Caenorhabditis elegans: one gene and its partner. The protein of the gene in region 1 interacts with the protein of each later gene in a pairwise test. Each region holds a gene or a part of one and is shown in the gene's direction. Other genes may lie near its edges.

Region 1 (3,756 bases):
TTTTGAAAATAATAAATTGAAGACTAAAAAACTCGAAGAAAACTACAGAAATGCAAAGGATCAGCTCAAACTTAAGGAAGCGCATCATCTGAAGCTTACTCAGCGAATCGAAGATCTCGAGAAAAAATTGGCAGAAAAAGATGAACGGCTGAATTATCTGGAGCAACTTCCAAATCAAAATGAACTATGTTCAATGCTTCAGAAAGAAATTTTGAAACTTCGTTCATCGCCTGCTAGAGATAGTGAAATTGACATTTTGAAGGAAAGTCTTGAAGCTCAGAAACAATCTGAAACGTGGAAGATCCAGAAGCTTACAACAGAGAATAAGATACTGATGAATGAAAAAGATGAGAGAATTTTGAAGCTTGAAAAGTATATTGAAAGCATGAGAACCAAGAAATTTTAAGATTGAGAAAAGAGCTCGAGAGAAGAGAAAATAGCTTGAGAGAAGCACAGTCTCGAAATGGTAAGAAATTTTTATGAACATGTTTACCGGAAAAATGCAAGAACAGAAAAGTATGTTTTTATATTTTCAGAAAAATCACAAAGTTTATCATCTCAATTCATGAAACAGAGGGATCCTGACATCGAATTAATCTACCACTCAGAAAATAGAGGAAAAGCGAGCAGTAAAGATAATGCAATGGAAACCAACTCCCATAGTTCTAGTGGAACTAAAAAGAGAAGAGTTATTTCTTCAGAAGAGTTGGAAGGTGAGCTTTTTTGTTTTAATAATATCTGATTAACTCTGAAGAAATTGTTTTAGCTTCTTCCTCGTATCCTATCGCAAGCATGAAGAATTGTCTGAAAAATGAAGAAATTCAGAAAATGCAAAAAGCTCTGAAAGAGAAAGATGAGCAAATTTCGAAACTTACCGAGCAACTTCAAGGACTTCTGATTAATCGGGACAAAGAAACAAAAGTGGAGGATTTGCAGCAATTCGAATACGATGGGGATTCTGACGGATAATCTTCAAAGAGTCAAGCATCTAATAGTTGGGATCTGATGAATGACATTTGATTTCCATTTTTCCATGTTCTAACTGATACGTTAAGTTCATTTTATTAGTGATGCAACATGTATGTAAATATTTTTGTTTATTTTGTAAGTAGCAAGCTCTGGTATCTAATTTTCATCTTGTTTCGTTTTTGTTTTTCCTTTTTTTTCTCAATTAATACATAATGAGTTTTTAATTTTTTTTCTCGAATTTTCGTTGATTTGTTGTTTTGAAATTCTATTTTGAAGACCTGGACAAAGTGGGAAAACCGAATTTTCAGGCTTTGTTTAACTTGGGCTCGTGCAGTAGATCATTGAAAAGTGAAGAATCAGATGGATGGGATCATATGAGCGATGCTTAAGCTTTTTTAATTCGTAATTTCAATTTTCTGAATTTTTTCTGTCAAATTCTATTTATTTTAATATTCAAATTAACTATTTTGCATTTTTATTCATTTTCCTTTGTTCTTCAAAATTGTAAATTCTTCGTGTAAGTTGTATATCATATTCTTGAATCTTTTCCTCAATAATTCTAAAATTCCATTTCGACCTATTTCCTCTCAGGGCTTTACTTGATTTTTCAGTGTTTTTTTCAACCTCGTCGTTATAAAATTTTTACATTTTTTTCAAATACTTCTTGTGATTTTTGGAAGGTTTTACACCTTTTCAAATACCTTTTTTATTACCTCAATACATGGAGTCTAAATTGATATTTTAGTAACTTGGACTGGAAAGTATGATGGACAACCTGAAAGCTGAATTGGCACAAGCGAAAATCGACATCGATCAATTGGAAAAGAAACAATGGGAAACTTTGGAACAATTGGTGATGAGAGATAAGCTTATTGAGCAATGCTCTCTACATACGGAGATTCTTCAAAAAGATTTTCGAGAGAGTGAAGCACGAATTATTCAACTTGAGCAGCAACTTTTGGAACCTGGAGAATGTGGTAGTGAGCTTCGGGCAACTATCAAAAATCAGGAGGAGTTACTCAAAAAGCAATCAGAAGAAATTGAGAGGTGTAAGGAAGAGAGCCGCATGTTGATTCAACAGAAGGAAGAAATGGAAAATATTCATTCAGAAGAAATATTTGGAAAAAACAAAACAATTTCGAATCTTCGTAAACAGATCGATGGTGATGTTGAGAGAAAGAAGGCAAAGATTCGTACGTTGAGAAAAGAACTGTGCTCAGCGGATATGAATACAGGAAAGATGTGTAGACGTGCCAAAAGAGCGGAAGATAGAATTGCTAAATTGGAATCCGATCTTGAAGGTAAGCTATTGTTTTACTGAAAGTTGGCCAACATTGGTTAGAAAACAGATGAAGTTGATTGAAAAAACGAGCTGTTCTATTATATATTAAAGTATTAATTAAAAATTACCATCTATAATTTTCAGAAGAACGCCAAAAACATGTGGGACAAGACATCAGTCATATTTTGGATCAACATAACTCGACCGTCATGGCGTTAGAGATGCAACTTGCAAACACTCAGCAGGAAAAAGCCACGCTTAATACATCAGTTGAAGATCTTAAACTTCGAACTGAAGAGTGGAAGCACAACTTATTGGGGCAATTTGAAGTATTGACAGGTAAGCTTGTGAAAGTTTTCTAGGGGTTTTACACACATCTGTAAGCATTTTCTTTTATTTCAGCCAATTCAAAGAGAGAATGTGAATCAAAAGAAGAACAGATTGCAAATCATAAAAGAGAAATCATGGAAAAAGATAGCAAAATTGAGTGTCTGATGGAACTTATTCAAAATAGCGAACGATCCGCTGAAATTCAGAAGATGCATGATGCATTGAGAGAGAAGGATTTGAAGATTTCGGAACTTTCGGAAAAACTGCAAGGTCTTCTTATCAATCAAGAAGGAGAAGCTGATGATACAATGATCGATCAAGATGACGACAATAAATCCACACACAGTGAAGATTCAGATGGATGGGATAAAATAAATGCCATCTAATTTTTTGCACTAAAAATGCGCCCCGATTTTTCATATGCTTTTTAATTTTTTTCCTTTTTTCCTTTTAAATTTTAAATTCAACTTCGTATTGGAAGAAAGTAGCTCTTTAATCGTATTACCTTAAGCCTTCAACAAAAAATTATTTTTAAAAAACAATTGTATTCTTGTAAACTTTGTACCTTTTCTGTACTGCACTGTATTATAAACTTCATATGTTTCCCGTACTTTTGCGTGACTCTGTCATTGTTTATACTAATGTGAAAACATTTTACTTATTACTATTTCACAAATTTTCAAGTATCTTCACTTATTCTCAGGGATATTCTGTTTCTCACCTCATTTAAAAACTATTCTCATAACAATTATGTTCTTTCTCAATAAAGTTAGTATTACTTATTGTGCTCATTTTATATTTAAAAGGTTCTCATTTCCTTTCCGATTATTTTCAGAGCGTTTCATGTGCAGTATTGGTAGGTATTTTCTATCCATACAGTATTGTTGGGAACTCGATGTAAATTTTCGGAGATGTATTTTATTTTACAAAAAATAGTTTTGAAATTGCTCAATTCGGATAAGTGTGGCTGAAGCTTCGAAAACTGACTAATTTGTATGAAAACATCTTAAAAAAGAACAATAACTTCAATTGAGAACATTCGTTGGCTAGTCAGACAAATTCGATTTTCCTAACATCTAAAATTGCCTTGTTATTTTTTTCGTTACTGAAATTATGGCAACACTTACAAAAGATAAAATACTATAATCATATATCTTATCGCATTTTGTTTGCAA
Region 2 (3,756 bases), on another chromosome or scaffold:
TGGTGAAATTGTACTGTCCACGTTGCAATGATGTTTTCGTTCCACGATCATCACGTCATCAACATACTGATGGAAGCTATTTTGGCACCGGATTCCCACATATGCTCTTCTTTGTTCATCCTGATCTGCGTCCACGCAGACCAGTCACTCAATTCGTTCCAAAGTATGTCAGAGGATATATATTAAGCTAAATATTTGAAAATCCGAAATTCTAATTTAAAAAATCTTTAAAATCTCGGCAATCGAGTAAATCTTTTCATTTCAGTATACCAATTAAACTTTTTGAATAAAAAATGAAGTAAAATATTTGCTTGATTCGAAAACACAACTTAATAATGTTGGAAAATTCAAAACGACTAGTGTCTGAAGGTTATTTTTTCGGCATTCGGCAACTTTCAGGCTCTATTTGAGATCTTTTTTCAAATATTTCAACAAGAATAAGTTGCAATTTCGAATCAATAAAATATTTTGACACATTTCTAAAATCATTTTTAATTCAAAAAGTTGACTTGGTAGACTGAAATTAGAAGATTTACTCTATTGCCGAAATAAGTTGGCTGTACTAAATTAGATTCGAAATAATTTTAGAAATTAGAAGATCAAACAATAATATTTTATCCACTTTAAAAATTTAGCAGAACTTAGTACAATAATAATTATGTTATGTGTAAATTTTTAAATATCAAAATTTTCAGACTCTACGGTTTCAAAATTCATCCTGTTGCTTATGGAGGACAGGAGGGAAACAGCGGCGGAAATACGGCGAATAACGTTGCCGCAGCACAAAACAACACGACTCCAGCCGGGCAACAATCTGGAGGACAATTCAATAATTATGGTCTCTGAGCCACTTTCTTCCTTATTTTTGTTTTGATTTCTTCTTTCCAGTTTCCATTCAGAATGTCCCCCCTCTCAACACAACATCCTTATTTTCTTCATTGTTTCGTTTTTTCTTCTCCCCAAAATTTTCTTTTCCGACAAAACTCAAGAATCCGGCGGTTCTTCCATGCGTGTTTCTCTTCTTTTCTAAATCTGTTCTATTCCAACATTATGCGAATTTAAGAAATGAATGAAACGGTAGATCCCATACATCTCAAAAAGAGTGTTCCTAATTTTCTGTGTAAAAAGTGCAACGTTATTTATTTGTGCCTGTCTTCGTCACGCGGAAACAGCTGGGCGGGAAAGTGCGCTCTACTGCAGTCTCTCAGTCACAGCCTTCGATTCTGCCATCGACGTCATGTGTTTCTTTTCTTTTTTATTTACTATTTGAACGGTTTTAATATCTCCAGTTGATTTGGTTAACGATTAGCACATTGATTTCTGCTTATTTTGAAATATTTCAAAATTACAATTTTTGAAAACGCTCCATATTTTACCTGAAGAAAAAACTTTTGAACAGCTTTTCACATTAATTCCAATATATTTTTAAATTATATTGCATAAACGTGAAATTTTGCGAGGAAAAGGCGATACCCCGGTCTCGATACGCCTTTTTTGTAAAATAAAAACGGACGTGTACCTTTATAGAGTACTGTAATATCAAACTATCGTTGCTGCAAAATTTTTATCGATTTTCAGTGTTTTTCGGTAAAAATGTATTTGTTAAAAAAAATAATAAAAGAAAACGACACAAAATTTTTACAAATCGTGGGAAAAAGTATGAAAAGTCGATAAAAATTCAGTAGCAATGAACGTTTAAAATAACAGTACTTCTTAAAGGCGCAGACCCATTTGTTTTCAGAAAACAATCGTCGCGCCCAGACCGGGTACCGTACTATTGGCGGAAAAAAAATTTAGAAAAGAATATACCAAGTAAATATCAGTTCTCAATTTTAATATATATTTTTCTTGTGAATCATAGTTTAAAAATTCTTCTTTGTTTTTTCTCCAACTCTTCAAAAATTAAATAAAAGCTTTTACAGCTTTGAATCATCGAAAATGAATGGAAAACAGCAAGTCACAAAGAAACCATCAACTGAAGAAGATCTGAGCTTCACGGTTTGTTTTAAAGTCAAAAAATCAATAATAAATATTTTCCAAAGAAATTCAAGGTTGTACCAGATGTTGGTCTAAAAAGTTCACAATTCGAATTTGTGCTTGGTATGCCAATCAATCAATGTATTGCAATGATTCAGCAACATCCAAGAATGCTTACAAAAGTCGAATTGAAGTACAGTAAAAAGGTATAGAAATTAACTAATTATACTTTTAAATAAAGTTAAATTAAATTCAGGATCCATTCTACCAGGATATCATCATCTATATCGGTTCTACAGGAATTCGTCTCTATTTTGATGGCCTTTCACAGCTTATCAAGCTAATTGAAGTGGATAATCTTTCAATGATTACACTTACTTATAAGTATGATACCATCAAAAAAAAAAAACTACAGAAGCTCGTTTAAAACTATTGAATTTAAAACAAATTATGGCGTTTTGAAAATTCGAAAAATTTCAGCCTTGCATAAAATCTGAAAATTGAAAATTCTCTCTGTTGAATTCGGTCGTTTCGGGTCATTGTGAAACTATCAAAGAAAAAAAATCAATTTCAATTGCCAAGATAGTCATACAATTTCTTCATAAAAATTTTCAGCGATACAATCTTCTCTGATCCAAATAACATGGCGACGTTGGATCGGGTCAACGAATTTTTTGGATCGACACATCCAGGATCATATGATGATAAGCACAATATCTATGTGCAAAGTTGGCCGGGATTATCTTTCTGTTTCCCATATGGAGGAGAAAATTCGAATTTGGAAGTCAGGGTACTGTAGTTTGATCTTTTTGGGTATTAAAGTTGGAGTACCGTCTGTGGGTTTTTTCGAATCAAAAATACGATACCGAATATAGTAAAAAATTAAAAGAGTTTTTTCTAACCTACAGCCGCTACTTCACCTTTAATTTCCAAAAAGTTTTTTATATCTCCCAAAAACCGAAATTTCAAACATTCTTCAATTTCAGCCTGGATTTGGTGGAAATCTTCGTTCGCTGAAATATGATGCCAACTCTCAACCAAAACTTACCAAGATGTCCATTTATCGTGGACCAAATCCATCTGAGCCAGAGTGAGAATTTATTATTTATTTCTATTTATTTCTCAAAATTTGAAGATCCGTGGATACTCCATTCTCGTGTTATTGTGGTCAAAATCGGACGAGAAAAGTCGAAGCAATTTGGGAAAATGGGAATATTGTTGGAATTGATATTCAATTTGATACTCAAAGTACTGGAATTTTTTGAAATTATTAAAAAAAGTGAATATTTGCAGACGGAAGAATTGTCGATGGAGAGTATGATGTATCCACGTACACACGACAAATCTATTTTGGAGACTCTGTTTCGGTTGGTTTTCTCAATCAAAAAAATTTGTTCTAAAAATTTAAATTTTAGGATGTGCAATCGATTCTTGGAGCCCCGACAAAGGTCTTCTACAAGTCCGATGACAAGATGAAGTACGTTCTCGTTCTCTTGAAAATTCAAATTCTTTTCTCACAAATTTAGATTTATTTTCAATAGATGTTGAATTTTCCACTGAAAATTTAAACAATTTTTGAAGAAAAATTTTCTTAAAAAAAGTTGAAGGGTTTCAATGTAAGCGTTTTATATCAATTAAAAATAATTCATATAGCATTTTGTTGATATTCAGCAATATCCAATGAATAAATTAAAAAATTGTGAAAAAAGTTCTTTTTTTTCAAAATGCCTGAAATTTATTTAACAACTTTCCAACTAATATTTAAAAAGGATAAATTTT

Evidence for each region. Proteins that work in one complex are often made in the same cells at the same time.
Region 2: the proteins of F20C5.6 (region 1) and phaf-1 interact in a two-hybrid assay, tested with the Caenorhabditis elegans proteins (2 studies listed by BioGRID).

The regions. Positions count from the first base shown.
Region 1 is NC_003282.8:8,771,165-8,774,920, reverse strand, and holds F20C5.6 (ELKS/RAB6-interacting/CAST family member 2), read left to right. Parts: upstream 1-1,714; 5' UTR 1,715-1,732; coding exon 1,733-2,270; intron 2,271-2,395; coding exon 2,396-2,590; intron 2,591-2,653; coding exon 2,654-2,967; 3' UTR 2,968-3,361; downstream 3,362-3,756.
Region 2 is NC_003279.8:8,286,291-8,290,046, reverse strand, and holds the start of phaf-1 (PHAF1 protein T01G9.2), read left to right. Parts: upstream 1-1,922; 5' UTR 1,923-1,938; coding exon 1,939-1,998; intron 1,999-2,042; coding exon 2,043-2,183; intron 2,184-2,233; coding exon 2,234-2,361; intron 2,362-2,592; coding exon 2,593-2,767; intron 2,768-2,963; coding exon 2,964-3,067; intron 3,068-3,112; coding exon 3,113-3,225; intron 3,226-3,270; coding exon 3,271-3,344; intron 3,345-3,392; coding exon 3,393-3,454; intron 3,455-3,756. Other genes in the region: kin-10 (Casein kinase II subunit beta), read left to right, coding at 1-163, 696-846. UniProt on the Caenorhabditis elegans protein: May play a regulatory role in autophagic activity.